2 linked regions of the Cricetulus griseus genome follow. The protein of the gene in region 2 interacts with the protein of the main gene of each other region in a pairwise test. Links are inferred from orthologs where the notes say so. Each region holds a gene or a part of one and is shown on either strand. Other genes may lie near its edges. The genes, in order: Irf1 and Irf9.

Region 1 (15,162 bases), on a different chromosome or scaffold from region 2:
TAGCTCCTGAACCTTCTCCATGAGCCAGCGAAATGATTGACAGGTACAATCATTCACCAATGTATGTATTACAGCTTGCAACACTCCAGTTGGGTGCTACCCTAGAGGGACAGCTAGGACAAAGAAAGTGACACAGGAGAATGACACCATAGAGGATTGATTTATTTGTGAGTCAGAAGCCTTGAGGAAGTAAAGGAAGAAGCCTAAGGGGTCAGAGTTCTGGATGGAACATGTACACACCAGCCCAGCTGCTAGAACACACTGGCAAGGTTTACGTGTGAGCACCAGTTAACCCACACTGCCTGTGCCAACCCCTTGGGACCTGGGTCCCCGTTTCTTTTATTAGATGCAATGCCTTGGCCACAATTTCTCTTTGCTGCCTAGAACTTCTCCAGATCTAGGCTTTGGGAACTCAGAAATGACTTCAATACTGTCAGGGAGGAACTCTCTCTCCCAACGGCTAGGGTGAGGTTGTAGAGCTGAGGCAAGAGTCCTAGAAGGAACCACAGCCACTTCTGAATTCCCTCCACTCCCGTGGTCTCAAGTAGTCCCAAGGATACAAGAGAAGAGGGTCACCTTGGTCACTGCTAGAACCTCGTGGGGTACAGAAAATCACATCAGCATCGTGTGCCGAGGTAGAGCACACACATCATCTCTCCCCATCTCTCAGGATACGGGGCTCTCCCATCACTGCAGACTAGCAAGGAGCTATTGCCATTTGTGGTTAAGGAAATTAAGATTCCTTGCGTCCTTCGACAGCTGTGCCTGCAGCATCCAGCATCCAGGCTGGATGTTCCTACTTACAAGTAGCTCCACATAGCACCTGCAGCAGGCTTGGCCTTCTACCTCAATTTCCCAGAGCAGCCAAGCGACGGACCGTTAACAGAGGTGTCACCTAAGGCAGTATAGGGACCGAATCCCTCCCTTCTTGACACCTCATTACCAGACTGATTTTCAGGGTGATTCAGTCCCGAGGTCCCTTCTGGAGAGGGAAGTAGGTGTCCTGGAAACCTAGGAGTTAGAGGTCCGGGTGGAGGAGAGGGGGAAGACGGTAACAGGAGCCAGCAAGCTGGGAGCATGCAGAATGAGGGGAAGAGCCTCGCTTTCCAAGACAGGCGAGGGGAGCGGGGGTGGAGTGGAGCGCGGGGCGGGCCCGCGGGAGCCCCGGGGCGGCGGCGCGGGCCCGAGGGGGTGGGGAGCACAGCCGCCTTGTACTTCCCCTTCGCTGCTTAGCTCTACAACAGCCTGATTTCCCCGAAATGATGAGGCGGCACCGGCCAATGGGCGCGCGCAAGCGCCCCGGAGGGGGCGTGGCCGAATGAGGGCCGGGGAATCCCGCTAAGTGTTTGGTTTTCTCCGCGGCGCCGCGGACTCGCCAGTGCGCGCTACTCCTTCGTCGAGGCAGGACGTGCTCTTAGACTGAGTCGAGCCGAACCGACCGAGACGAACCAAGGTCAGCCGTAGCCAGCGGCCACCAGCATCCCGGGCATCCTTCCCTCTGTGCGCGCATCGCGTACCTATACCGCAACCCTCGCTGTCGGGCACCCTATCTGGATCGCTCCTGTTGCAAAGGTGAGCCCTTCGGAGTTGCGCGGGTACCGACGGGCGGCGTGGAACAAAAGGCGCGCGGGACACCAGGAAGTGGGAGCTAGGGACACCCTGGGCCGGGGTGGCGCGCGGGCCCGGGAGGGCGCTGCGAGCGATCGGGCGGGAGGCGGGCCGCGACGTGCGCCGCCCCCTGGCTGTGCTCGGTTGTCTGCGTGCGCGGGGCCGCTGCGGGGCGTCTCGGTGGCCCGGAGCGGAGCGTCCGTTGCGCGCATCGGCGAGCAGTGCTGGGGGGGGGGGGGGTTGTCGGGCGTCAGCTCGCGCGCACTTTTGGCTGTCGTAGCTTGGCGCCTGGGTCCCAGATTTAGGGGCCCGCGGTGCTAGGTGGCAGAGGTTGGCTTGCTGCCCTGAATGGCTAGACCCGGCCGTGAACTACAGGGGTTTCGGGAGGAGGTGCCACAGGTGTTGCTTGCGCCACTTCTCTTTGCAGCAGGGGAAACCAGGCCGGAAGGGGTTGCGCCCCAGCCTATGCATTGTGGGCACCGGCTGTCAGAGGGGGCATAGACAGGGTTGGGGAGGGTTGGGGGAAGTGCCCGGGATGGAGAGTGACTTGCTTGGCCAGTCTGGAAGGTGCAGAGCTGGTGGTGACAACAAGCAAAAGTAGTCCCTTCCTTCCCCCAAAGATTGCATTTTGAGAGAAAAGTCCTGGCATTGAAATGCCTGCGTATTTTGGCTCTTTTTGCACATAAATCCTGAAACCATCCAGACTTGCTTGCTTGTCTCCTCTGAGACTGACTGGGAGAGGGTGAGAAAGGGGGCAAAAAGGTGGTTTTGCCCATGATGCTGGAGAGATTTAGAGAGCAGTTTCAGTCTATTTATTGCAGGGTTGCCTTCTCTGTGCCTATAGGACCTGGTACCTGGCTGGCTGGGGGAGGGTAATGACCTGGGTGTGAGGGCAGGGGAAGGTAATTGAGTGGCCTTGGGTGGAGCAGGGCAGTGCCCAGGATTGTTTAATAGACTTCAAACACAGACCTTCTGTCTTCTCCCTCCAGCCACCATGCCTATCACTCGGATGCGAATGAGACCCTGGCTAGAGATGCAGATTAATTCCAATCAAATTCCAGGGCTGATCTGGATTAATAAAGTGAGTGTTACTCTGGGTATTTCTGGCGCTGTTTTCACCCATGTCCTCTTGGGGACCAAAGTTTCATTAGTGGAAATGAGAGAGCAGGAAGATGTATTTCCCAGTGGGTGCTGCATGCCAGGACTTTCCAGGTCTGACTTTATGCCTTCTGCTTCTTCTTCCTTCCTGAAGCTGGGGCGAGCCTATCCTCCTAGAGGCACAGTTCTCAGCACCAAGACTCCCAGCATCTGCAGAGCAAGTGAGAGAAACTTGCTGTACGTGTAACATCCTACATGGCTCCAGTTGTATAGACAGATGATGCTGGGCAGGAGCATGACTGGCTCTGCAGGGGACCCAGTTACTGTGGCCCAAGAAGCCATAACTGGTACACATGGCAGCCTAGACTACGCAGATTTAGCAACAATACTAGCATTGGTAACAATAATTACTGTGGTTGGGTACCCTTCTAAATATGTTACCAATGTTGTGTATTTTAGTCTTCATAGTCATCCCATGAGATGGGTCTCAGATAAGGAAACTGGGGTAGATTACAGGATCACACACAAAGTATGAAAGCCAAGACTGAACTCCAACAAACTTGACTGAATGTCTATATTGTTGGTGATGGCTCAGCAGGCAAAGCCTGACAGCCTGACTTTGATCCCCACATCCCTTGTGATTGGAGAGACAACTGCTCTAGGTTGTCCTCTGACCTCCACAAAAGTGCCCTACCCCTGCAAATAACCCTGACACTTACACACAGATTTAAAAAGAAAACAAAAAACCCCCAAAATCTGTATCATTGTGGCTGTTGTCTCCATACATACTCTTTTTTTTTTATTATTAAAAAACAAACTCCCCCTGTGGTGCACGCCTTTAGTCCCAGCACTTGGAAGGCAGAGGCAGTCAGATCTCTGTGAGTTCGAGGTCTGCCTGGTCTATAAGAACAGCCACCAAAGCCACAGAGAAACCCTGTCTTGGGAAAACAAACAAACAAACAACAAACTCCCACCCCAATACACATAAGAAAACTTTTCTCTCTCCTTGAGGTATGTCTTATTTAAGAGGACATAGGCCAGCATTACACGGCTGTCAGCATCCATGTCTGGCCTCGGGCTCCCTGGTGACATGACCCAGGACCCTGTATAGGAGTCAGTGGCTCCAGTTGTCTTGAGTAGACACTAATGCAGGAAGCTCTTCTGCTCCCATTGTTCTGAGCCAGAGAAAAGCATAAGAGACCTGCCAAGCCAGGACTGAGAGAGGGTGCCCCTTTGGGCTCTTAGCACACCTGCAGCAGGTGGGTAGGGCGGGGGTGTCATTGCCCAGCTTCTTGTGCTGTGGCTTATCAGAACCCAGACCCCCCCTGACAGGTGCAGAATGGCCTGTTTAAGGCAGTCAGGATGGGTCAGTCCAAGCCAGATGTTGGGGTGAAAAGGGGAAGTCAGTCTTTTCCCATACTTGGGGGCTGGGTATACTCAGCCACAAATCCTGTGGTCTCCAAGCTGACACAGTCCTATGTGTGCACTATTCAGGAAGAGATGATCTTCCAGATCCCATGGAAGCATGCTGCCAAGCACGGCTGGGACATCAACAAGGATGCCTGTCTGTTCCGGAGCTGGGCCATTCACACAGGTGTGCAGGGTGGTGGGGCAGAGAAAAGAGCAGGGGAGGCTATTACCATGGAGGCTTTGGGTAGCTTTGAGCTCCTCGACACAGCATGCAGAATTATTGGAGCAGGGGTTGAGGTGTCCCTGTGTTTCCCTAGGATGGGATCCATTGTTTTAGCAAGTTCCCAGAGGATTTATAAAGGTGAAAATCTTAGAAAGCATGCCTTCAGGGAGTCTGTAGCTAGAATACAGTTGTTCCTGGCAAAGAGAGTTGTGAGTCAGGCTACCAAAGGAAACTTTCATCTTCCTTTCTCAAGGTACGGACTAGGGGCCTTGGCCCAAGCCTCATCTGGGTGGTGGCCTCCTTTCGGCTTTTAGGAATCAGGTTCTTGGTCCAATTAGGACCTGTTAGTAAATGTCCTTGTTGCCCACTCTGTACACATGTGTTCTTTGGAAACGTCAGATAAGCCTCTGTATTAGCCGTCTCTGGCTGCTGATAGTGTGAGCAGGGAGACTGTTATAACCGAAGACAGTGAGCACATTTTGGAATAAAGGCATTCAACTGAGCCCTTCACATGCCTGCTGGATGTCTGAGCCAGCCTTGGGCATGAGCCCCCCTGGGGGGGGTTATTGCCAGTGGTTTTTGCTAGTTTCACTAGTATGGGTGTCTGGGGTACACCTAGTCCAGGGAGCAGCTGATGGATGCATTTACTCTCCCTTTCTGTAGGCCGATACAAAATAGGGGAAAAAGAACCAGATCCCAAGACGTGGAAGGCAAATTTCCGTTGTGCCATGAACTCCCTGCCAGACATTGAGGAAGTGAAGGACCAGAGCAGGAACAAGGGCAGCTCGGCTGTACGAGTGTACCGGATGCTGCCACCCCTCACTAAGAACCAGAGGAAAGGTAACCAAGGGCACTGGGTCCTCAGAAGGAAGGGAAGAAGGGTGGAAGGAAGATCGGCTAGGGCTCATGGCCTGTTTGCCCCACAGAGAGAAAATCCAAGTCCAGCCGAGACACTAAGAGCAAGGCCAAGAGGAAGGTGAGTGTGGCTCTGTGTGGCCCAGCCTTTGGTCACCTTAGGTAGGGTGGGCAGTGAAGAGCACTGCAACAGGCCTAAGCTGTCTTCTCTCCACAGCTATACGGAGATGCTAGTCCTGACACCTCCGATGGACTCAGCAGCTCCACTCTGCCTGATGACCACAGCAGCTATACCACTCAGAGCTACCTGGGTCAGGACTTGGACTTGGAGCAGGACCTTACCCCAGGTGAGGATGCCAATCTGGCAAGAGAGCTCATAGGTTGGGTCCAAGAGGCACTGTGGTAGCAGAGAGTAGCCTGTTAGAGCAGGTTGCAGGGTGGAGGTGCCGATTTATGGCAGATTAAGAAAGCATGCCATCAGCCAGGTGGTGGTGGAGTATGCCTTTAATCTCAGCACTTGGGTGGCATAGGCAGGCAGATCTCTATGAGTTCAAGGCCAGCCTGGTCTCCAGAGCCAGTGCCAGAATAGGCTCCAAAGCTACACAGAGAAACCCTGTCTCGAAAAACCAGAAGAAAAAAAAAAAGAAAGCAAGCATGCCATCCTGACCTGTGCTTTGTACCCTCCTGTAGCTCTGTCACCATGTGTTGTCAGCAGCAGTCTCCCTGAGTGGCACATGCAGATGGACATTGTGCCAGACAGTACCAACGATCTGTATAACTTGCAGGTGTCGCCCATGCCCTCCACCTCTGAAGGTTTGTACCCTTTGGGCCTGGCCTGCCTCTGTTTGTGTTTGGCTCTGCAGGGGAAGTAGATGCTTAGAAATGTGCGTGCCATTGAGCTGATGGAGCTGGAACTGGGAACTGCTTAACCCAGCCCCCATAGCATGAAACAAGCCCATGGGACGCAAGACAGTTTAGAGCCTTTGTGTGCTCCAGGCCAGGAGGGAGGCAATCAGGCCACGGCCACATCTTGGTCAAAGGTGGCTAGTGCTCCTGGCTTCTCTGCCCTCAGTTGTCTGAGGTGAGGAAGGAAGTAAAGGGGTGGGATACAGCCTTGCTCCATGGTTGGGGAGGGTGAGTCATCAGGCCAGTGTCCTGTTCTGGAACCTCCAGGGCAGGCAAGATGCTGGTTGGAAGGCTGGGTGGGGGGCTTGGGGTTGGAGCTGGTGGGGTGGAACTTCAGGGCAAACATGTATAGCTAACCTCTGCCCTTCCTCACAGCTGCTACAGATGAGGATGAGGAAGGGAAGTTACCCGAGGACATCGTGAAGGTAAATCCTTTTCCATGCCGCATCTGTGAAGGGAGAGCAAGCTAGGGAAAGCTTCCAAATCAGTGTGGGCAGGTGCTGTTGTCACTTGGCTGCATAGCCCCACAAGTACCACCCCCCATCCCCACCCCCCCTACCTCCCACCCCCCCCACCTCCCACCCCCGTGTGTTGGGGGGACTGCTGCCTGGGCAGGTGAGATGCCTAGTCTCTAGCAGGCCATCCTGAAGCAAGCCTCAGGGTCCCAGACAGCTCTGAGTCAGCCCCCATCAGCACTGTGTCCTCCGCCCCAGCTTGCCCAGCCCATTCCCAGTTTGGGAAATGCACATCAGGTTTCAATAATCAGCTTTTGGGATCTCTACTAAGATGACTAAAAAAAAAAAATCTTTTTTTCCTTAGCAAGTTCTTTTGCACTTTCATTTTTTTCAGCTGCAGTTTTCAAAGTGGCTATAAAAGTTTTTGAGGTAGTTTTGTCCTGATTCTGGCCTGTGAGCGCAGAACATTGAGATGCGGGTCTAGTCCCTTGTCTTCAGCCTTCCTGGCTTGTTATGCTAACTTTTACTTTAAGCTGCCTTACCAGTTGTTATGTCCTCCCCGAGTTGAGGGAAGTCATGCAGATTCTGTGCCAGAGGGTGGGGATAGGAAGAGAGAAGGACAGTGACACAGCAGAGGCCTTACAGGGCCCAGGTAGTTCGATGTTCCCCACACTCTTGGGCCTTGTCTTGACAGTTCTGCATGCTGACACCCATTGGAGAATATACAAATGCCCAAGGGTGTGATTCTGCTTGGGAAGGGTTAGCTCATTGAGGGCAGGGCCCACAGGGTAAGTCTGCACTGGCAGACGGCTGATGGCTTCATGTTTTCTCCTCAGCTCTTTGAGCAGTCTGAGTGGCAGCCGACAAACGTGGATGGCAAGGGATACTTGCTCAATGAACCAGGAGCCCAACCCTCTTCTGTCTATGGAGAGTTTAGCTGCAAGGAGGAACCAGAGATTGACAGCCCTGGAGGTAAGAGGTCTCCAGGTCCTTATGGATTCTGGGAGAAGAGCGAAGTTTATGGGAACTGGGACATGATAGGAGGCAGAGTCAGATAAAGATAAAAGATCTCTTTTAAACTGGATCAGCAGGCACAGCAGTGAGCACTGTTCCTGTGCTGAGGACGAGCTGTGCTTGCTGCTTGCTGTGGACGACTGTGTGAGGTTCTCGTACCTTTTCTTAAATAACTTTTTTTTTTTTTTTTGGTCATCTTCTAGGGGACTTTGGAATGGGCATACAACATGTCTTCACGGATCTGAAGAATATGGACTCCATCTGGATGGACACCTTGCTGCCCCCCACTGTCAGGCTATCCTCTATTCAAGCTATTCCTTGTGGACCATAGTTTGGGTCCCTGACCCGTTCTTGCTCTTCTGAATGAGCAAGGTCTGGTGTCATGGTGGCTGTAATACAGAAAAGCTAGACTGCTGTGGGTCCCTTGACATGGCAAAGCATAGCCCCACTGCCAAGCGGGAAGAGACCACCCTCCTTGGGTCAGTGGACTCTCAGGGCTTGGAATGCCAGGATCTGAGTTTTTCTTGTGAGGTGAAGCTGGCCCTGACTCCTGGGAAGATGGAGTTGGGGTTCTGAGGTTGCTGTGAGGTGGGAGACAGGGACAGGAGTCATCCTCTAGCTCTTTAAAGCCTTGCTGCCTGGAGAGGGTCTTGTCACTGGGCTGGCTGTGCACTGGGAGACAATTGCACTAAGTGAGTCCTATTCCCAAAGAATTGCTGCCCTTCCCAGCCGAGCCCTGGGATGGTTTCAAAGCCAGTGAAATGTGAAGGAAAAAAATGGAGTCCTGTGAGGCTGGGCTCCCTTAGCCTCAGAGGAGCTCTGCCTCGCTACCTGCTCTCCAGCTGTAGGGCTCAGGAAAAAAAAAATGGCACTTTCTCTGTGGACCTTGCCACATAACTGATCAGAGGTGTACACTAACATTTCTCCCCAAGTCTTGGCCTTCTCGTTTATTTATACAGTGCCTTGCCTGGTGCCCACTGTCTCCTCAGGCCTTGGCAGTCCTCAGCAGGCCCAGGGAGGGGGTTGTGAGCGATTTGGCGTGACTTTGACTATTGGAAACGCCACCTAACTACTAAATTGTGTTTGATCACATATGGATCTGTGTAAATATGTATATTTGTCTTTTTATAAAGTTAATTGTTTACAAGGCGTGTGGCTTTTTACTTAGAAGTCGTAATCTGTTTTACTTTTTATGGAAACATTCTGGTGGGAATCTTTGGCGTTCTGCCTGAGCTTTGGCTGAGCATTGACATGCATCTGTCATGAATCTTTCCAGTTATGGTCAAGAAGATGGCAGGAGGAGGGAACCGCATGCCATGTTACAGGGACATGCTCATTTATATTCATTTGTTGTATTTATTTTTGGTTTTTTGAGACAGGGTCTCACTAAGTAATCCTGGCTGTCCTGGAATTCACTATGCATACATAGGCTAGCCTCAAACTCACAGAGATCTGCTTGCCTCTGCCTTTGAGTTTGATTGTCTTAATCCTATTTTATTTGTTTAGTGGAGGTCAGAGGCCAACTCCTAATTAAGTTGGTTCTTTAACTTTGTGGAACCTGGGATCAAATCAGGTCATCAGGCTTGGGAGTTGATTTTGAACTCTTGGGGCCTGGTTATCTGTTAGTCTGTGACAAATTCAGAGGAACCCAGAGCCTATCTGTTCTGCTGAACAAACAGGTGCCATTCCAAACAATAAACGATTGGTATGACACTGACAATGGAATAGACAACAGTGCAAGCAACATCCCCAAGGCCTGCTGCTGCCCTAGGCCTCACTTGATGGAAATGATCTCTACTCTGTACTAATGCTAGTCAAGCCTGGGGGCTAAGTACCTGAAATGTGACCAATGATATATGCAGGAACTTGACTTTTAATTTCAGTGACTATCTGACCACTGACTGTGGTTTGGACTCATTTGTACTAAATAACAGGTGCAGCTTGGGGGCAGATCTGAATGAGGGAAGGGAAGATGAGGACAAAACTGTAAAATGGGCAAAGCTCAGTCTGTGGTTACCCTGAAGACTGAACATGCTGTGTGCCTGGCAGATGGGCTGTCACTAGGTGGCTGTCCTCACTAGGTGGGGGTGGGGTCCTGGATTACAGGCCTTGCCCATCTGGAGACCCAGTTGGGTTTTTCAAGGATAGCTTTACTGGGGACTAAGATGGAGATGGATAGCCTTCTTAGTCCTTCCAGGGCCCAGTCCTTACCAAGAACAAGATTTTAGGGGGTTAGCCTCCTGTGACATCTACAGAGTTTTCTGGTGGGTGGCTCTTAAGCAATGGCAGGTAGGAGTGGTGTGAAGCCAGCTAGAGGGGATTGTGAAAGAATGGAGGGGAGGAATGTAGTCTACCACAGACAGCAAGGCCCACTTTTGACTTTTCTGTTCCCTCCTTCAACTTGATCCCTGATGGAGAGTATATAGTAATGACAGAAGTTCCAAACAACAGAAGGACACTTAAGCTCTTATAAGCAAAGTTCATCATCAGTACATCAGAAAAGCAAAGGCATTATGCTATCAGCTTCCAACCTCCAGAACCAAGATAGAGTCCAAATCTCCTTTGGTTAGGACCATCCATCCCCTGGGGATGTCCAAGGGGGACCCCAAAACTCTACTTTTCCATCACAGGGTAGCTAGGTCATAGGTCCTTGGACTTCCAAGATGAAGAATTGCCCTACTGTGGATTTCAGCCCTTGCCTGGAAGACAAACCCTGTAAAATATGACTATTCAATTAAAGATGGCAGCTGGTGCCTGGAATGGGGTAATATGAGTATAAATTGAGCCAAATTTAGGCCTAAGATAATTCTAAGGACTTAACAGTGCTTCTAAGAGCCACACCTAAGAGTTTCTGTCTACTAATGGACACTCCGGGCTGAGCAACTGGGAAGTCACTGAAAGATGCATTTCTTTGGGGTTGTGGTGATGTCATAGTTATCAAGGACCACTTAACAGTGGGATTAACTGTCAACGAGGTAGGGTTCAGAGGAGAACCACTTTTCCAAGCTCAGAGGTGAGGTAGGTCTAGAGTCTATGTTGATTTTTAGATGGCATAGCTGAGTCCTGCCCTCCTTGTCATGGTGGCCCAAGTTCACAGATGTTTGAGGGCATTTCTAGTGAGTCACAGTGGTCTCCTTGCCTTGTCACTTTAATCAAGGTAGCTTGTTCATTCACTTTGAAGTAGGAAGAATGCCAGAGACTATGGTGTAACAGCTACTGTCCACCTCTCAGTATACAGTTTGCAAAGTACTGGGACAACTCTGGCTCAGAGGATGAGGGATGGATCCCTCTCAAAGCCAGCCAAGGAGAGCTGAGATCCTAGGGAAAGTTTGGTAGAAGCTTCAATCCTTTTCTCTGGAAGCAAAGCACTCCTCTTGGTGGGGCGGAGTCCTGCCTGTGGTGTGAGATCCAAAAACCTACTGCACAGGGGAGTGCAGTGTGTGTGTGTGTGTGTGTGTGTGTGTGTGTGTTTGTTTGTGTACATCCTTTAGACAGTCCTGTTAGAACACCTAGCTGGAATCTTTTGCTCTCATCAGATGTTATTTCTTAATTCCACACAACTTGCCCTCCATGTGGAGATGTATGAAGTGGTCAGACCCCTGCCAGCTGTCCAAGGGGCAGGAAGGAGGCCTGGGCAGAATGAGCTGGTACATGCCTTTTCCAAGAACTCCCTTGTGGGCCCAAGTCTGAGGCCTCACTGGCTGGCTTTACAGTTTCCTCAGCTCCAAGCAGCTCCCAAGAGACTCACTGCTGCTGTTCTTAAGGAAGTTGCAGAATCCTCTGCTTCTGGTGGCTGGGTGGTGGGGGTCTGTGGTGCCTACACTCAGTTTCCTTTCAACAGGGGAGTTGCTGGAACCACTGGGGCAAATTCGTGAAGACAAAGTGAAAATTAAGAGAGGCGGGTATCCACCTGCCACCCATTCACCAGGAAGAAGATATCAGCATGTAGGAGTCCGAGGGACCACAGCATCTATCCAGATATGACAACACAGACACACTGCTCAAGTACACTAGTATACTTGCACCCACCTCCCTGCAACACCATCCCTTTGTTCACAGACCAGAAATCAATGTTCAACAGGCCAACAGGCTTGCCAAGGTGACTTAGCTATGGAGGTTGGCTTCCAACCCACATCTATCCATGTCCAGAACCCAGACTGTTTCCACACTGTCAAGGTTCCTGAAAGAAGGAAACTGAGAACAGCTGGGAAGGAGTAGGGTGTTAGGACCCTATGCCAAGAAGGCATTTGGGACTGTGGAGCTGTCACTGTCCCCTCCTGATGCCCTAGAGTCTAGGGCCTAGAGAATGACTGGGGCTCTAGTGGGGTAGGGTTTGACTTGGCCTTCAAGAGAAGCAATGCTTTACCTACCCTGGGAGGCCACCTGATGTTTCAAGGGCTAGGGCCCCAGGGGCCGAGAAACAGTCAAGGCTTGTAACTTGATTGGCCCCAGAGCAGCTGGCAACTTGGCCATAGACCACATTTATTCCCGAGGACTCTGGCCAGCCAGGGCTTAGATCCCCAGGGTTCAAAGTGCACTTGTCAGCCATGTTTTCATCTGAGCAGGGTGACCAGTTTTGCACTAAACCAAACCCACTATTGGGTTCGGAGCAGCTTCTCTCCCAGCTCTGTATCCGGAGCTGGACCAGCAGCTCTGGTGAGTTTTATTTTTCCTCTCTGGCTGGGCCTTGTCTCTTTCTGCTCTCCTTTCCTTAAAAGTCCCTTGAATATGAACAGGGCAGTGGTGGCACACACCTTTAATCCCAGCACTTGGGTGGCAGAGGCAGGGGGATCTCAGTGAGTTCAAGGCCAGCCTGATCTACGGAGTGAGTTCCAGGACACAGAAAAACCCCCGTCTCAAAAAACAAAACAAAAATCCCTTGAATATGGATGGGGCTGACTGACTCTGCTACTATGTTCTCCTTGTAGACAGACAGGAGCACAAACTCTTCCACAGCAGTTATAAACACTGAGCTACACTTCTGCTCATGGAGAAGGGATGTACCAAGACTTCCCTCAGGAGAAGGCCCAGGGTAGGGTGTAAGCATGTGAAAGGCCTCTCTGAAAAAGCTGACTTCGTGGGCTCAGGGAGTTATGTAGATGTGGAGGTGGGTTCCATAGAGAAGACAACAATTAATTAGGTCAGAACCATGATTACTTGTTCAAAACTGTGACCAAGTTCCACACCTGGGAGGCAGAAGCAAACAGATCTTTGTGAGTTTGAGGCCTGCCAACATGCCAGCCTGTGAGGGTTACATAGACCCTGTCTCAAACAAACAAAATGAAACAACAACAAAAACCCACTATGAACAACGCAAGGAGTTCTGTCATGTTGGTCATGTCAGAATAATGTTAGACTGGGGTAGGAGCTGCAGATGCTTGTGGGAGGTGGTGGGTCACTGTCATAGCTGGGGACCCAGCTGGAATGCCAAGGGGAACCACATGTCTGCAGACAGAGCAAAGGCTGGAGTCTAGCAGTCCTGTGCAGTGTGAGGAGGGCAGGAAGGAAGGGTAGAAGGAGTGTCCAGTTCCATGGCCATTCATCAACACTCCTCTGTTGCAGAGCAGGGAACAGCCGGACACAGATGCTGAGCCCAGTAGACCCTGTGCTCCCAGCTTGCAGTCAGCCTGAGGTCACTTGGGAGGACCTCATTTTCAGTCTCTGTCCATTCTAAGAAGGTGTAGTGTGGACCCTCATGGTCAAAGTGTCACCTTATAGGTGCTAGTCCCTTCCTGTGTGCTTAAGTGGTACATGGGACTGGAGGCTCCCCAGGGACAAGGGCTCTCTACATTCTCACAGTGCTCAGCCCCAACTTAAACTTAAGTGCATATGTTCTGGTAGCCTGGGACACTTGTCCATGGCACCTGCTCTGCTGAGCTCACCTGGACTGTGAGGTTCAGGAGAGTAGGCTATGGTAACTAGGCCTGCCTCTGCAACAGAATCCTGACCAACCAGCAGCCAAGGCTAAAGGCCCAGGGACAAGGGCTACTTTGTGTATGACACAATCAGCCCGTGTTCCCAGCAGGACTGAAGTTGGAAAGCTGAGTTATTCATGATGCTTACTTTATTAAAAACATACACAAGCAGCCGGGCGTTGGTGGTGCAAGCCTTTAGTCCTAGCACTCGGGAGGCAGAGGCAGGTGGATCTCTGTGAGTTTGAGGCCAGCCTGGTCCCCAGAGCGAGTGCCAGGATAGGCTCCAAAGCTACACAGAGAAACCCTGTCTCGAAAAACCAAAAAAAAAAAAAAAAAAAAACCATACACAAGCACTTGGTAGGATGGCCCAGTGGGTAAAGGTACTTTGCTGCCAAGTCTAATGACCTAAATCTGGTCTCCAGAACTCATGTTGTAGAAAAAAAACTGACTCCTACAGGTTGTCCTCCAGCCTCTACACATGTGCTGTGGCATGTGCAGTAAACAAATTAACATTAACACACACACACACACACACACACACACACACACACACACACACACACTTACTTTTCTAATGAAAGAAAGGGTGTGAATTTGGGTGGGTGGGGAAGGTGGGAGGATCTGTGAGGAGCTGAGGGAGGGAAAACAGAATATATTGTATGAAAAAAGCGATTTTTAATATACAAGAAGAACATGATTTAATTGTACAAAGAGCAAGAGGTATGAGGAAATAAAAAACATTTATTAAAGACATCTGCAGAACACCACCCAGAAGTGACCAGGGTGTGACATTTTTAGAAGCTCTGATGCAAACACATTGTGTCACTCATGCATGCAGCTGAGAATGCTGTGCCATGCAGGCACAGCTAGAAGATACCCATCCCTCAATCTTTCTAGCATCCATGAATCCAAAGGGCTGGTGTGCAGGAAGCAGAGGTGACTGCGGCTGTCCGGGAGGTGCAAAGGAGATGAGGCTCCAAGGATATCAGTTTGTACAGAAATGAAGAGAGAGGGTTCCCAGGATTCGAGACTTCTGGTGTTAAGGGAAGAGGTCTCAGGAATAGCAGGACCCAGCTGCTTATCCTACTTGAGGGATATAGGCCTTGTCTATACTTTCTTGCTTGTGCTTTCCGGGCAGGCTCTCCTGCTAGTGGGCAAAGGACTGACTAGGATTTCCCCTCCAATCTCTCAGCCTAAGGCTCAGAGGACAGAGAGGAAGGAGTAAGGGCAGACAGGCTGTCATCCTGAGGAAGGGCTCAGGGGAATTCTGGCTAACACGGAAGTCAGGGATACACAATGGGACCTCTAATACCTGCCTGCTGCTCCATGAAGCCAGAGTTGCCCTCAGATTCTGCAAGTCTCAGGCAAGGCTCTGGCCTCAAAATCTGAAAAGTGTAGGCATTTGGTAGAACGGTCCAGCCTTTTGGTCTTCCACAGCTGGAGTGCTAACCCTGCCTTCCTCTTCTCCAAGTGCACACCCATTCCCCCATTGCCCAGCACCCCCTTCCAAGGACTGGGAGCAGAAGGGGGGAAGAAGAATCCAGGAAAGGCTGAGCTAATGAGGAAGAGGCAGGTGGGAGGTGACTGGGCAATGGCAGACATAGCCCATCTGTGGTCTAAGTGACTGAATGCAACAGGCAGAATGGCAGTCTTTGGTGGGACGAAGATGTGCACATTC
Region 2 (15,597 bases):
ACCCAGCCTCACCCAGCCTGGCTTTTAAGAGTCATTGATTGTGGTCTACAAGAGCTAGTTCCAGGACAGCCCCCAAAGCCACAGAGAAACCCTGTCTCGGGTAAAAAAGAGAGTCATTGATTGAGCTCTTGGGTTCCTGAGCCTCTCATCAGAACAGCCCTCCCTGCTGACTTGGCTCCCTGGGCTCTGCAGTGACTTCAGGAGGGGGGGTCTCCTTACCAATTTTCTCTGGAGTCACAGCCTCTAAAAGGTGTCGAATCTTTGGGAAGAAATTGGGAACAAAAGACAGGTCTTAGCATCACTCCTCTATGTCCTTACTTTCAAAACATTCAGTGGACACCAATCTGGCCGTCTCTGTATTTCTTGTTTTAGAATTTTTGCTTTCTTATTTATTCATTTTTGATACAGGTCTCACTGTGTAGCTCAGGTTGACCTAAACACTTTTTAAAAAGATTTTATTTATCTGTGTGTGTATGCATGCACCCTTGGAGGCCAGAAGGCAGAGTTTGATGTTGGATCCCTGGAGCTGGAGTGAGAGATGACTGTGAAAGCTGGCAGTGACATCCTGTCCTCTGCAAGAGCTGGATACACTGGTAACCACTGAGCCATGGCTCTACTCCCAGCCCCACCCACCCCTGCTTCAACTTTTGACAGTACTCATCCTTGAAACTCATGAGTTCTTGAAGTAGCTTACATCACCATATCCAAGGTGTGTGTGTGTGTGTACGTGCGCGTTTGCGGGCACGCACACACACAAGCGTGTGTATTTTCAGAACTGGGAATCAAATTGCGGGCTAGTGCATGTTAAGCAAATACTCTATCACTGTGCTACGCCTTCAGCCCTAAACCAAATCTCTGTGCCATTTGACACCCATATGCCATAAAGCCACCAACCTACTCTTCCTCCTGTCCCTGTCCTAACCTCGCCTCCAAACTAGCTTTGTGAATTTGTGCAAAAAGCAGTGCAACATCCATCTACACATCAACTGTGTTGTGGACAGAAACGACTAGAAAAGGTTCTTGGGTAGATGGTAGTGGGGACAAGTGTGAGTGAGTGTGATTCCAGTGGAGCCAACGAAGAAGACAGAGTGGCCTTGGTAAAGTGCTCACATTCCAAACCTCATTTCTATTGGCTTCGAGTGGGTTAATGATTTCATGGAAAGGGTGACAGTCGACTAAGTCTGTAAGGATAAGTAGGCCCTGGCCAGCAGAGAATGAAGAGCCGCTCTTATCAGGTTGAGAGATGTATTTCCACAAGTAAAGAAGTAAATGTGGCATTTCTGGGACATAGAAAATGGGGGCTGGTGCTGGTAGCTAAGGAGATCTAGAGAAAAGAATGGAATGGACTCCACCAAATCCAGGCTCCAAGATCCCTAGAGGTGCAGATACTATTTGCATTCAGGACCAACTTGCATGAATGAGAAGATGGGAAATGGAGTGATATCTAAGCTGTGGGGATGATGGGAGAAGATGGGGAAGAAAAGCCAACATCTAGACTAGGGTCTCAGTGGTGGGAACGGTGGAGATGGGGGAAGCATGCCTCTCATGAGGAAGCCATTCCATCAGGTTGGCCCTAAGTGAGGAAGATCTCGGGCTTTCCCTGTTTGCACCCACTAATCCCCTTGCTCCATGGCCTCTTATGGGAACCTATGGCAGTGTCCCATCCCCAAACCTCAGATTAACACAAGGACACCAACTAACCCTTCGGTCTATACTGCCATCTTGTGATTTCTGAGGTGCTCTAGGGAAATGAGCCCTACCTGAGGAATATCAAAAGGGCTGGGAAGTCCTGGATCCACAGACATCGTCCCAAAAAAGGGTTCTGGGGCATCTTCCAGTGTCTCCATCATGGCCAGACAGTTGGGAAGAAGCAAGCTAGGTCTGGGAGAGAACTGGGATGTCAGGGACAAGGCTGAGAGTGGGTGAGATAGCTCAGCAGGTAAAGGTGCAGCCACCAAATGCAAAGTCCTGAATTTGATCCCTAAATCTGAACCTATGTAATGATGAGAACCCACCTTCTCAGACTGACTGTGTTCTTTCTCTCTCTCTCTCTCTCTCTCTCTCTTTCTCTCTCTCTCTCTCTCTCTCTCTCTCACACACACACACACACACACGAATGCATTATAAAAAAGAAAAAAAGAGGCTGAAGCAAGTCTGATTGGCCCGGGTTCCAGGGACTCACAGGTCAGCCTCCTCCATATCAATGCGAATCCGCATCTGGGCCCGGTGCAAACGTTCTAGGATATGCTGGATGTCTTCTGTGGGCAAGGAAGGTACAATAATCAGCTTAGGCATGAGCCATTCGGCTCTAGCCCACCTCTAGTGTTCCCAGTCTTACCCACAAGGTACTGGCACTGCTGAGAGTAGACCCTTATCACACCGATCTGCAGCTGCGCAGAGAGATAGAGGGAGAAGCGGGGCCGGGGCAGCCCAGGCATCGGAGGTTGCACTCGTACCAGCACATAATTGAGGATTTCCTCGCTGGGAGAACAACGGACCCTGGTCAATGCTGCACTCATCGAAGCTCCCAAGCCAGAGACTCCTCCCTCTTTTCTGGGTCTTACCAAGTCTTTACTACGTTCACTTTCAGGTATTCACGCTTCACTAACCGGCTGCCTCGGGTTGCTGCCAGCCTGGAAGGGTGGGGACAGGTATGGCCTGTCAAACTCAAGATTCCCACTACTCGGCTCCTGGCATAGCTATCAGCCCTGTGCTCACCAGATAGTGGCGAAGCAGCCTGTGTGGCGCTGAAGCACGTTAGGATAGTAGAACATCTCTGGGTTTCACGCTCAGCACCAATCCCGTTTGGCTCTCAATCCGAATTCTTTAGGACACGAGATTTCCAGCACCATGGCAGAGGAGTAGGAATTTGGACAGGGAGCATGGTGGATGCGGATGCAAAAAGCCCAATTAATAAGACCACCAACTACTAGTACCGGAACTAGGAGGTAACCAAACGGAGAAGCAGGTGCTGCGCACCCTTCATTCTGCCACCCCCGAGGTCTGCATACCACTCGAGGAAACAGAATTTACCATCAGGATTGGCGGTCCTGGCCAGAGATGCGAAGCTCCAAGGGAAAGCCTGGGCAGGGACAAAAAAATAACAGGTCTTTAGGTTAAACTGAGTTCTCGTCAACAGGCCTTCTTCGTCCTCAAGCACACAGACATCGTCAAGCTTCTGGGACTTGCTCTAGGTCCGGTCGCCCTCCAGCGGGACAAGGAGCACGCTCTCCAAGGCTTTGAGCCAGGACAGCCAATGGGGAGCTGTGACTCCTGGTGCTAGGCAGCAAAACCCGGTTCCAGGCCATAGGCTCTTGGAGACGGGTCGCGAGCCAATCACGAGAATGCTGAGCACTACTGTGGCATTGTGAGGTGTCCTGGCCAATGGGCTTTCGTTCTCTCGGGTAGTAACAAGGACTTCTCCAACGGGTTCTGCTGACCAATAAACGGGGAGAAAACCCAGTTTCTCCCTGGAGACAGCTTGCTAGCAGGGTGTCTACTAGAAGGAGATGGGGTCATGCCAAGGGCAAATGCCCTGGCGCTGCTTATAATTGCAGAGATGCAAGGGACCATACCTTGCCTGTGCATAAATCCTGTTCTTAATCCTCAATTCCACCTGATTTTGTGTCCATGAAGGGTGTGTGCTGAACTAAATGCTAACCACAGTGTGAGGTGGCCTTGTAATCACCACATGCCAACAAGAAAGAAAACAGCCACAGGGGCTGCAACTACAAACTTCACCTGCCGCTTGAAATTAAGACACTAGTCGTGATGGTGCACGCCTTTAATCCCAGCACTCGGGAGGCAGAGGCAGAGGATCTCTGTGAGTTCGAGACCACCCTGGTCTACAAGAGCAAGTTCCAGGACAGCCTCCAAAGCTACAGAGAAACCCTGTCTCGGGAAAAAAAAAAGAAAAGAAAAGAAAAGAAAAAAGAAAAAGAAAGAAATTTAGACACTATCTCCAATCAAAAAGCAAAAACAGAGGCCAGGAGTGGTAGTGTATACCTTTTATCTCAGCAGTAAGAGGTTATGAGTTTGAGATTAGCCGGGTCTACAGGCCATTTAGGAAGTGATAGTGAGACCCTGTCAAAAAAAAAAAAAAAAAAAAAAAAGGGAACAGGGCTGGAGATGTAGCTCAGTAGTAGAGAGTTTGCCTGGCATCTGCATGGCCCTAGGCTCAACCCTCAGTACCACAGAAAGGAAAGGAAAGAAAACAGCCTTTGATCCTGGCAGAGTCAGGCCAGTCCTGAGTCTGAGGCCATGATGGTCTACACAATGACTTCCAGGCTAGCCAGAGCTACATAGGGAGATTCTGTTTCAAAACCAAGCAAATAAAAACAACAGCAAAACAAAAATGAAGGTGTGTGGATGTATCTCAGGTCTTGGGAGGAAAGGTGGGAGTTGAAGGACAGTTCTCACTTCACAGTGAGTTTAATACCAGCCTGGGTCATCATGAGACCTAGCTCAAAAACCTCAGAATTAATAGAAAGTACATGCTCTTTTTATTTATTTTTTTTTCCGAGACAGGTTTTTTTCTGTATAGCCCTGGCTGTCCTGGAACTCTCTCTGTAGACCAGGCTGGCCTTTACCTCAGAGATCAGCCTGCCTCTGTCTCCTGAGTGCTACACTGGCTCAAGACACCTTTCTCCCCGCCCCCTTCGGGTTAGGGTTTCTCTGTGTAGCTCTGGCTGTCCTGGAACTAGCTCTGTAAACCAGGCTGACCTCAAACTCACAGAGATCTTCCTGCCTCTGCCTCCCAAGTGCTGGGATTAAAGGCATGCACCATCACTGCTGGGTGATGCTTTTTTTTTTAAACCAGAAATTTAACTTTTTTTCATAGTGTGTGTGGGCGTGCGTGCGTGCGTGCGTGTGTGTGTGTGTGTGTGTGTGTGTGTGTGTGTGTGTGTGTGTGTACGCGCACGCGCGTGCTCGAAGGACAACTTGCTGGAGTCAGTTTTATCCTTCTACCATGTGAGGTCTGTGGTAGACTGAACCTAAGTCCCTATGCTTGGTGGCAGGTGCCTTTACCTATGAGTCATATTGTCAGCCCCTCAATAACTCTTTTTTTTTTTTTTTTTGGTTTTTTGACACAGGGTTTCTCTGTGGCTTTGGAGGCTGTCCTGGAATTAGCTCTTGTAGACCAGGCTGGTCTTGAACTCACAGAGATCCGCCTGCCTCTGCCTCCTGAGTGCTGGGATTAAAGGCGTACGCCACCACTGCCCGGCTCAAATAATTTTTTATATAAATTAAGCATATGATTACGATGGTGCCAAAATTATAAATATCTTTTGCTCTGGTGTCTCTGCCTTTATAAAACCATTTCTTTGCCTTAGACTATTCTTTCCTGCCTTGGCTCCAGGGTAGGCTCTGATATTAAACTTAGTTCTGTGGTAGTTGAACTGACCCTCTCTCTCTCTCTGTCCCCTTCCGTCTGGAGCTCTTGGGAGCAGGGTCACATTTTTTCCAGTGTATGCCTGGCTTCTGGTTATGTAAGTACAGTATTTGTCAAGTGATTGTTCAATTGACCTATATTTACAACTATACAAGGTCAAAACCCAAAGAGACTGAGAGGCAGAGTATAGTGACTCATATGTATAATCCCAGCGTTGAGGGGACTCAGAGGCAGGAAGATGTTAGAGTTCAAGGCCAGCCTGGCCCATACAGCGAGTTCAGCTTGGGCTAGCTGAGGCCTTGCTTCAAAAATAAATAAATAAATAAATAAATAAATAAATAAATAAATAATCAACCAAAAAAAAAAGCAGGGCGTGGTGGTACATGCTTTTAATCCCAGGACTCGGGAGGCAGGCTGATCTCTGTGAGCTCCAGGACAGCTAGTTACACAGAGAAACCCTGTCTTGGAAAAAAAAAAAAAAAAACTAAAGAAAATCAGAAAAGACATCAAATCCTCTCCAACTGGAGTTCAGATGGTGAGATGACTTATAGAAATCAAATCTGGGGGCTGGAGAGATGGCTCAGAGGTTAAGAGCACTGAATGCTCTTCCAGAGGACCTGAGTTCAATTCCCAGCAACTACATGGTGGCTCATGACCATCTATAATGACATATGGTGCCCTCTTCTGGCACGTAGGCAGAACGCTGTATATGTAATAAATAAATCTTTAAAAAAAAAAAAAAAGAAAGAAATCAAATCTGCACCCTCTGTAAAGCAGTCAGTCCTCTTAACAACTGAAACATATCTCTGCCAGTGTTTGTGGGGTTGGGTTTTTTTGTTTGTTTTGTTTTGTTTTGTTTTGTTTTGTTTTGTTTTGAGACAGGGTCTCACTATGTAGCTTTGGCTGTTCTGGAACTCACTCTTTAGACCAGGACTTGAACTCACACAGGGACACATCAGTTTCTGCCTCCCAAGTGCTGGGATTAAAGGCATACACCACCACCCACCCCTGTTCTTTTCAACTTTCTCCGGCTCTTGCAGGAATGTGGTACACGGCAAATACTCAGGAGCATGCACGAGAGCACACATCCCCTTACATAGAGGACAACAGCACAGGGATTGAGGGACCTCGCATGAGTCCCAACTTTACAAGTGGGGAGAAGCACAGCCCACATGCTCTCTCATAAACCACACAGCTCCTCAGAGCCTGCCTTGGAATTTTGCTGTTTTGAGTTCTAATATTCCCAATCCCTAGCCTACTGTGCTTGACTACACTGGTTATTTCAATCGTTGAAGTGTCACTTTGTCACGTCGGGGCTCAAAGACGAAGTGCAAGCCCTGACCAGAAGGTGCTCCATATCTACTTTTAGGTTCAAGAGATACACATGGTACATAGAGTAATTTGGCTACCATTCATCCATTCAGTCCAACAGGCACTTACAAGGTGCCTCTCACATGCCACTGGGGATAAACAAGGAACACTGTTCCCTGCTCTCGGGGGTAGGGAAGGAGAGATGATAAGGAAATAGAAGTGTGTGAGATGGCAGCACTATTAAGTTTTAACTTTAGTGGTTAAGAACATGCACAGCTCTCCAGAGAATTCAAGTTTGATTCCCAGCACCCATATCAGGCAGCTCACAGTTATCAACTATCTGTAACTCCAGCTCAAGGGGGATCCAACTCCTAAGGCGCAAGCTCTCACACACGTGCTCGCGTGCACACACACACGCGCACACACACACATAATTGAACAGAAGGACCAGAAGATGTGGGCAACTTGTATGGGATACCCAGGGGAGCTCTAAAGAGGTGGTATTTTGAAGAGACGGGTCATGTGACTGCATGCAGTAAGATTATATTATCATATTATTTGGATTTTTGAGACAGTGTCTCTCTTTGTAGCCCTTGCTGACTTGGAACTCGCTCTGTAGACCATGCTGGCCTCAGATTCACAGAGATCCACTTGCCTCTGCCTCCAGTGCTAAGATTAAAGGTGAGCGCCACCAGTCATCGAGGAATAGTATTTTAGAAAAAAAGAACAAACATGTTTTGCGGGTTCAAGGATCCTGGAGCAAAGTAGCATGGGAAGGGCAAAGGATGAGTTAGTTGGGAAGGAGGCGGGGACTGTTTAATGTTGGAGGTCATTTTCAGGATCTTGGCTGTTACCTTGAGGGAGTTGGGAGTCAAGGAGGGTTTTAAGCACAAGAATGAAATGACGAGATTTGTGTTGAGAGTCTCTCTGTACTGTGTCGAGAATAGGCTAAAAGCAGACAAGAGTGGGAACAGAGACAATGTGAAAAGAACCAAGAGATTTGTGGTAATATTAGGTGGAACTGAGGCAGGGGTTTTAAGAACAATAGGACCTTTCTTGTCTCAAGCTTCTAATGTGTCAGATACTCAAAGATCACCAAAGGTCAACCTGAGTCAGTGGCAGAGTCTTTTGGGAGAAGGCAAAGCAGAAGCAAGCTTTATTAGAATTATAGAAAAGTGGTGATGGAGAGATGACTCAGAGGCTAAGAGCTTGTGTTGCTCTTCTAGAGGACCCACACGACAGCTCATAACCATCCATTCCAGTTCCAAATGATCTGAGGTCCTCTTCTGGACTCCATAGACCACAGGCACTCTTGTGGTACAGAGACATATGCAAGCAAAAACACCCATACACATAATAAAATTAAAATAATTTAAAAGTTACAGAAAAGTTGGGGCTGGAGAGATGGCTCAGTGGTTAAGAGCACTGGCTGCTCTTCCGGAGGTCCTGAGTTCAATTCCCAGGAACCACATGGTGGCTCACAGCCATCTACAATGAGATCTGGTGCTTTCAATTCCCAGGAACCACATGGTGGCTCACAGCCATCTACAATGAGATCTGGTGCTGCTTTCTTTAGGCCTGCAGACATACATGCAGGCAGAACACTATGCATAATAAATAAATACATCTTGAAAAAAAAGTTACAGAAAAGTGAGAAAATGAGAAGTGAGAGGTACTCCCAAGAATGGGCAGGGATGCTAAGGGAGGGAAAGCCACTGAATTTCTTTCTCTAGGACTTCTATAGGATTGTAGCAGAAACTGGACAAAGGTTGAGGTAATTTCGGTAATTGCTTGAGGTTGGCTAGCTCTTAGGGCTATGACTGGGCAGGGCAATGGAGAACCCACATGCTCTGTGTGTCTGCTTGGCCTAATAGGGAGATGATAATGGGCTGCATACCCAGTTAGGAGTGTTTGGAGCACCTCTCTGTCTGACATTTGGTTAGTGCCTGACCATGACTGTCCATTGCTGTTAGTCATTTGGCTAGTCTTACTACCCCTAACCTAGTGTCTCAAGTGTTGTTAAACTATACGAAGCACTCTGTTGTCACACTGACAGGATCAGCTTGTAGCTTTGCTATGGCAGTATTACCTCTATCACAGCCACCAAGATACAGTTTCAGTCTTTCTTGGTTACCCTGTATTTAGTGCCTTGTCTTTGGAGTGGTCTGAGGTAGTCTCCTAAGCAGAAGCTTGTTAGATGACATCTAACTTACTTGCAATTACACATTAGAATTAGCTGCCTTAGAAGCAAGAATATTAAGTGTCTTATACATAATCCTCAGGGCTTTGTGGAGCAGTTGGACTGTAATCATCGTCCTAGAACCCACTCCCCCTTTTATCTGTTTAGCTTGGTCATTTCACACCCCTTTATTCATCCTCCTCAGTGCTCCAGACTGACATTTTAAACCTAGCTTCTGTTCCCACTGCAGCATGTGTGAACATGTTGTATTTTCTACAGGAATCAAGTTACACACACACACACACACACACACACACACACACACACACATTTATATTTTATTTTCTAAGTGCTGCAGGGATGCGCATGTACCAAACTGCATGTGGAGAGGTCTGAGGATGACTTGTGGGAGTTGGTTCTCTCCTACCATGTAGATCCAGGCATCAAACTCTCAAATCTCCAGGATTGGCAGCAGATGACTTTACCCACTAAGCAATCTCACCACCACCACCACCTCTTAAAAATTTTTGAGACAGGGTATTAGTTTGTATATACCTCAGGCTGGCCCAGAATTCAGAGATCTGCCTGCTTCTGCTTTCTGAGTGTTGGGATTAAAAGTGCACTGCCATATCCATCCCCTCAAAGGTTTGTTTGAAGAAAGAGTGACCATTGCCATTTGGAGTTAGATGTAGGGTCCAAGACAAAGATGTACTTTAGAACTGGTACAAAGGTTCAAGGGGGATTTCAGAAAACTGAAGGCACAAAAGCAGAACCTCCCCTGTTTACTCTTGGCTTCCCTGAGGGATGACAGATTGAAGGGAAGGAAAAAGGTTCAAGGAGGCAGAAAACCACCAAGGAGTCTGGCAAGGTCCTGTAAGGACTTAAGCATCTAGACTTGATCATGTGAGCAAGCCTCTGGAGGCTTGTGCCACGGCAAGAAGGAAAGTAAATCTGGTGTTCCGTGCAGGAATGTGGACGCTGAAGGTGCTGCCAGTTAGATGGTGATGGAACCAGCTGGTGGAAGTGATGGTAGCAAAGGAAAAGCATCCCCATTTAGTGACAAAATGACACAGAGTAAAAAAGAGTGTCAGTCAATTATAAGCTCTCAAGTTTCAGTGAACCAGGGTGCTAGAATATGGCTTTTTTTTTTTTTTTTTTTTTTTGGTTTTGGTTTTTTGAGACAGGATTTCTCTGTGTAACAGCTCTGGCTATCCTGGAACTCTCTGTAGACCAGGCTGGCCTCAAACTCACAGAGATCTATCTGCCTCTGCTTCCCAAGTGCTGAGGTTAAAGGCGTGCGCCACCAACACCCGGCATGTTTGAAACCTTAAAGCCCATTGCCAGTGACACAACTTGTCCAACAAGATCACATCTCCTAACCATTCCCAAACAGTTCCATTGAGGACCAAGTATTCCATGTATGTATGCCAGGCAGCAGTGGTGGCTGTGGCACATGCCTTTAATCCCAGCACTCAGGAGGCAAGTGGATCTCTGTTTGAGGCTAGCCTGGTCTACAGAGAATTCCAGGACAGCTAAGGCTACACAAAGAAACCCTGCCCTGGGGTCGGGGGAAGGGGGTTCCAATGTATGAGCACACAGAACCTATTCTCATTTAAGCCACCAGTGGCTATAGTGCCGTTTGACTGTAGGCCTCTCTTAGAGATTGACTCCCAATCCTTTCCCCAGTTTGGTTGTCTGAACCTTGGATGGGGACCCCTAGCTTTGGAAGTACTAGGCCAAGTCTGAAAAACAAAATAGAAGGGTCAAGGATTGGAAAAGAGAGAAGGCAGTCATGGATGGTGGTCTGTGTCTGTAACCCCAGCACTTAAGAGGCTGGGAGAGGAGAATCACCATGTGTTTGAGACTAGGTTCCAGAGCCAGACAGCATTCCAGCTAGTCCTGCTGGCAGAGGAAAGCAAAGGAACTTGGAGAGGTCATCAGGAAGAGAGCCCAGGTACTAAATACCCAAGTCTATATCTTTATAATTCCCCTGTAACCCTGCTACCTCTCCCAACATAGCACATACTCATCTCTCTTTTAAAAAGCTTTTATTTATTTGTTGGAGACAGGGTCATAATATGCTACCAAGGTTGGCCTTGAATTCTCACTCTTCATGCCTCTGCCCCACAGGTGCCAAGGTTACAGATGTGTACTACCCTCCCCCCCAAGTTAAATTTTATTTAATTCTAGGAAGGAAACATAAAGTGCTTAGATTTAGAGTTAGGGGTTGGAAAGAGAGCAAAATTCCCTCTGATATCACACCATTTAGAACTTTCCAGTTCCTTAGAGATGAAAGAGGGTATATCTAAAAAAAAGGTAAATAAAAGTCATTCAGTCTGTCTCCCAAGTGCTGAGATTACAAATATTCACCAACAAGCCTGGCTCTCAAAATAGTTATTTTAAGGATAAAAAGATCCTGCACTACCAGCCATGTTGTATAATCCACATCGATAGTCAACACAAAGCAGGTAGACCAATGGTGTGGAGAACAAGACTATTTCAACAGAGACCTGAGGATCAGAGTGATAAAGCAGCAGATGGATGTTCTGGGTTCTGTAACAGAAACAAAGCGGCTTTCTGCTCCTCTGGAATTTTCTCCAGTAAATGCCGGGCAAAGGCCTGCTCCATCTGTATGGGAAGAAATGAGGAACAGGCCTCATGAGCACTGCAGGCACAGTCACTACCCCGTAGCTCCTCCCCCTTAGGAACAGTTCTGCAACCAATCAACGTTGACCTGGTTTTGGAGTGGAGCTCACCTGCACTGTGATAAGATTCTCCTGGGTGTGGCTGGAGCCAGGCCTCTCCTCCCAGAAATGCAGGGTTGCCTGGAACTTGGGTGGGGGGCCCTGGCCCTGGCAGTACTGGGCCAAGTCTAAAAGAAAGAGGATCAAGGATTGGAAGAAAGAAGAGGGAAGGCCAGGCATGGTGGTATATGCCTGTAACCCCAGCACTCAGGCTGGGGCAGGAGAGCTGCCATGGATTTGAAGTAGCCTGGTCTACTTAGGGAGTTCCAGGCCACCAGGAGCAATGTGAGAGTTGACTCAGAAACAAAAAGTAACAATATAGAGGGCCTTGAGTAAGGTGGAGCTGTCTGGGCAGTCAGATGCAGATATGAGAATGTGGTAACAAGGACACCAAGGTCAGGGCAAAGCTGTGGCTTAGAGATGCTAAGAATTAAGTGGTCTTCACGGTGCAGTAGGAAGGGTACCTTGGAGGCCTCAGAAGCAGCAGCCCTGGCTACCAACCCTTTGTTGTTTGCTTATACTCCCAACACTAGGGCACTAGGAGCCCAGGGACACCACGCTATCCTCTATGTTCCTACCTATGCTCACAATCAGAGGCTCAACTAGAATTTCATGGGTGGCCAGAAGGAAGGGACGGTCTTAGGAGATCCCCACAGCATGGTAGAGATGGTGGGGCGGGGCAAGTGTGTGCAAGATGTCTTGGCTCTTCCACAAACGGAGCTGTGCGTTGCAGTGTGTGGAGATGGTCGCAGGCTAAAATCCGTGTTAACCTGTTTGTACAATGCTCCCCCAAGATGTGCCACTCTTGTCTGAACCCAGCGGGACCTCATCTACCATGACCTTGGCGAGGGAAATGCTGCCGGAGCTGAACATACAGCTCCACATAATGTGCGGCACACGAGTGCAGGGGTGCCACGCACAGGCTGTGGTGACAATCTGCTGCCGGACAGGGGAGGGGGGGAACCCAGGTCAGGCCCAGGGGACAAAGAGACAGGGGTGGGTGCTGAGGTGCCCAGCTAGGAAGCCTTTACCTCTAGAGAAGCAGGTGGTACTGAAGAGCTCCACACACTTATTGCTGGGCAGCAGATGCGGACCAGGCCCAGGTGGGGCCTCAGGTGCATTCCAGGAGACGGGGATGGGACAAAGGCGCTGAACAAAAAGGCCTCTGGAATTGCTGGCCACCAGGATGCCTCTCTCAAGCTGACTCAGTAGGTGCTGGATAGGCTCCAGTGGATCAGGTGTGGGAAACACCACTTGTGGCATGTTGCTCTCCGAGACTGAGGGGTCAGCCACAAGGCGACAGTCTAGGCTCTCCACCGTGATCTCGCCCACCACACGCCCACTGTAGATGAAGGTGAGCAGCAGCGAGTAGTCTGGGAACAGAAAAGCCCAGCTGTATTAAGTGTGGGAGGAGCCTAAAGGCTAATAAGGGGCCCTCTTCTCATGTTGCACCTGACCAGCACAAAGTTTCAGAAAAAATGAAGTGCTCCAGTGTCCCCATTTTGTTAATGGGAAAACTGAACTCAGGGCAGGAATCCAAGCAAGCACTGGGAAAGACAAGGTTGCATGGCTGAGGCAGTTCCTTCTGAGTTAGAGAAGGTGTTTGGCTCAGCTGAAAGAATGGTTGCCTAGCATGCACAAAGCCCTGGGTTCAACACCCAGCACTACAATCAACCCTTGGCATGGTGCCACACATCTGTAAGCCGGATACTCAGGAGGATCAGGAATCCAGGTCATCTTGAGCTACACAGTGAGTCTGAGGTCAGACTGGACAATATGAGAGTGTCTTTAAAAAAAAAAAAAAAAAAAAAAAAAAGGAAGGAAGGAGCCAGACAGTGGTGGCATACACCTTTAATCCCAGCACTCAGGAGGCGGAGGCAGAGGCAGCCGGATCTCTGTGAGTTCGAGGCCAGCCTGGTCTCCAGAGAGAGAGTGCCAGGATAGGCTCCAAAGCTACACAGAGAAACCCTGTCTCGAAAAACCAAAAAAAAAAAAAAAAAAATTGAAAAGAAAAGGTGTCTCCTTTTTCATGTGCACACCTCCCTCCCAACACAGGGTTTTGGCAAAGGCAGTTTACAAGGAGGTCTCAGAGATTGGATTTTTCTGGACAATAAAGAAATAAACATCTCACTAGGTGGTGGTGGTAGTGCACGCCTTTAATCTGGGAGGCAGGGCAGACAGATCTCTGAGTTCAAGACCAGCCAGGTCTACAGATTAAGTTCCAGGACAGCAAGGGCTACAAGAGAAACCCTGCCTCAAAAAAACAAAACAAAAACAAACAAGCAAACAAAAAACAAAAGAAAAAGAAATAAATGTCATAATGTGGCTGTTCAAGGAACAGTATTTAAGATGTTTTTTTGTTTTATTTTGTTTTCCTGAGGAAGAAAAAAGCTCTATGGAGTGTGATCAGCCACATGAATATTCAATTCATAAAAGTGTTGTCTCTAGGATAAAGTGGGCACAGTTTTCGGTAAGCCCCAGCTAAGTAGTCAGTGCAGGCAGGGTCAGTGGGAGTAGACCTGAGAGGAAGAGAGCAGGGAAGGTCAGAGAGGCCACGCACCCGAGTTCAGAGGCAGTGGATGCTCTATAAACACTGGGTCCTCTGGAGTGGAGACTTCGCTTGGGCTAGCACCTGGAAGGGAGGGAGGGCACTGATCACTCAGAGTGGGACCAAAAGCCTGATACACGAGGCGCAGCAGAGACATAAGGGCAGGAGAAACAGTACCTTCCTCCGGCTCAGGGCTGCTGCTGCTGCTGTACCCGCTGCTGCTGCCGCCGCTGCCGCCACCGCCACTGCTGCCACAGTCTGAGGGGTTTACAAGCCCACTGGACCTTCCCTTCTCCTACAGACACAACATCCGTCACTGGCACACCTTTTCCTTTGATTAATTTCCCTTCCCAGCATGCACCTCATCAAGAGTCTTGAAGACAGAAATATCTGGGTGTCTTGTCAAGTGCTTGATGGTGCTTTCCTTACCTTATTCTCTTCCCTCTCTGGTGACACAGCACTATTGGGTCGCTTGGATGGCGATTTCTGGCTTCTTGGTTGGGCTGTGGAAATGATGCAGGTGGAGGAAAGTTAGAACCTTTTACAGGGAAAGATGGTGGAGGAGGAGCCAAAGTAACAAACAGCCGGGCAGGACTAGGGAGCCCAGGCAGGCCTGCCAGACAGCAGAAGGCTTATCCCCATCCTTCCTTGTCAATCTGCTCATTCCACGAGCAGCTGGGCAGGGACCACTCACCAGGGAGGGTTCCTGGTGGCAGTATCCGATAGACTTTGTAGGGTTCAGCAACATCCATACGGCCTCTCTCAGGAACCTCTTCAAATTCAGGACTCTTGTTGAGGGCACAGCGCAGGCGAGTCTTCCAGACAGCAGGGGGTCCTATGTCCTCATCCTTATGCTTTTTTTTAAACAGTGCCCAAGCCTAGTAAGGCATTAAGTGAAGAACAGACAAAGTATTACACACCCCACATGTCCCTCCAAATGGCTGACTGCACAGGTATGTGGCCTGAGCAATTGCACAGGCCTTGAGTTTAGATGAGCCCGCATTGGGTTTGTATTCCCTTCTTGCCAGCATGAAATCCTCGGTAATTTACTGTGGCCCTGCAAATAACACAGCTAGTTCTACTTTCTAGTACTCCCTTTATCCAAAACCCAGACAGACAAAAGCACTTGGATATAAACATATCAGTACAGACACCATCCTTTGAGGGGATGGTGGCTTCAGGCCCTCTCACCTTGAATATGGCAGCATCCTGGTCCTTTCGGAAGTCTTGCTTGCCTGCATGCTTCCAGGGAATCCGGAACATAGTCTTGGCTGTGTCATCCCAGCACACCCCTGGGAAGTGCCCACTTTCCAATTGCTGTATTATCCAACTTCGGAGCTTCCGGGTACAGCGTGCTTTGCCTGAGGCCATCCTAGGAAGAAAAGCAGGGTACATACAACTATTTCTATAATTTGAGACAGGA

What was found.
Region 1: the proteins of Irf9 (region 2) and Irf1 interact in a two-hybrid assay, tested with the Homo sapiens proteins (2 studies listed by BioGRID and IntAct). The link is inferred for Cricetulus griseus from reciprocal best matches to the Homo sapiens genes IRF9 and IRF1.

Annotation. Positions count from the first base shown.
Region 1 is NC_048600.1:67,920,596-67,935,757, forward strand, and holds Irf1 (interferon regulatory factor 1), read left to right. Parts: upstream 1-1,359; 5' UTR 1,360-1,572; intron 1,573-2,597; 5' UTR 2,598-2,602; coding exon 2,603-2,689; intron 2,690-2,924; exon of another isoform or gene 2,925-2,943; intron 2,944-4,200; coding exon 4,201-4,300; intron 4,301-5,002; coding exon 5,003-5,179; intron 5,180-5,265; coding exon 5,266-5,315; intron 5,316-5,411; coding exon 5,412-5,541; intron 5,542-5,884; coding exon 5,885-6,007; intron 6,008-6,475; coding exon 6,476-6,525; intron 6,526-7,391; coding exon 7,392-7,527; intron 7,528-7,772; coding exon 7,773-7,900; 3' UTR 7,901-8,718; downstream 8,719-15,162. UniProt on the Homo sapiens protein: Transcriptional regulator which displays a remarkable functional diversity in the regulation of cellular responses.
Region 2 is NW_023276807.1:210,812,418-210,828,014, reverse strand, and holds the end of Irf9 (interferon regulatory factor 9), read right to left. Parts: intron 15,547-15,597; coding exon 15,366-15,546; intron 15,053-15,365; coding exon 14,869-15,052; intron 14,678-14,868; coding exon 14,604-14,677; intron 14,470-14,603; coding exon 14,352-14,469; intron 14,259-14,351; coding exon 14,187-14,258; intron 13,000-14,186; coding exon 12,658-12,999; intron 11,755-12,657; coding exon 11,639-11,754; intron 11,511-11,638; coding exon 11,400-11,510; 3' UTR 10,914-11,399; downstream 1-10,913. Other genes in the region: meiotic recombination protein REC8 homolog, read right to left, coding at 172-259, 1,761-1,881, 2,183-2,258, 2,339-2,481, 2,565-2,633, 2,719-2,774.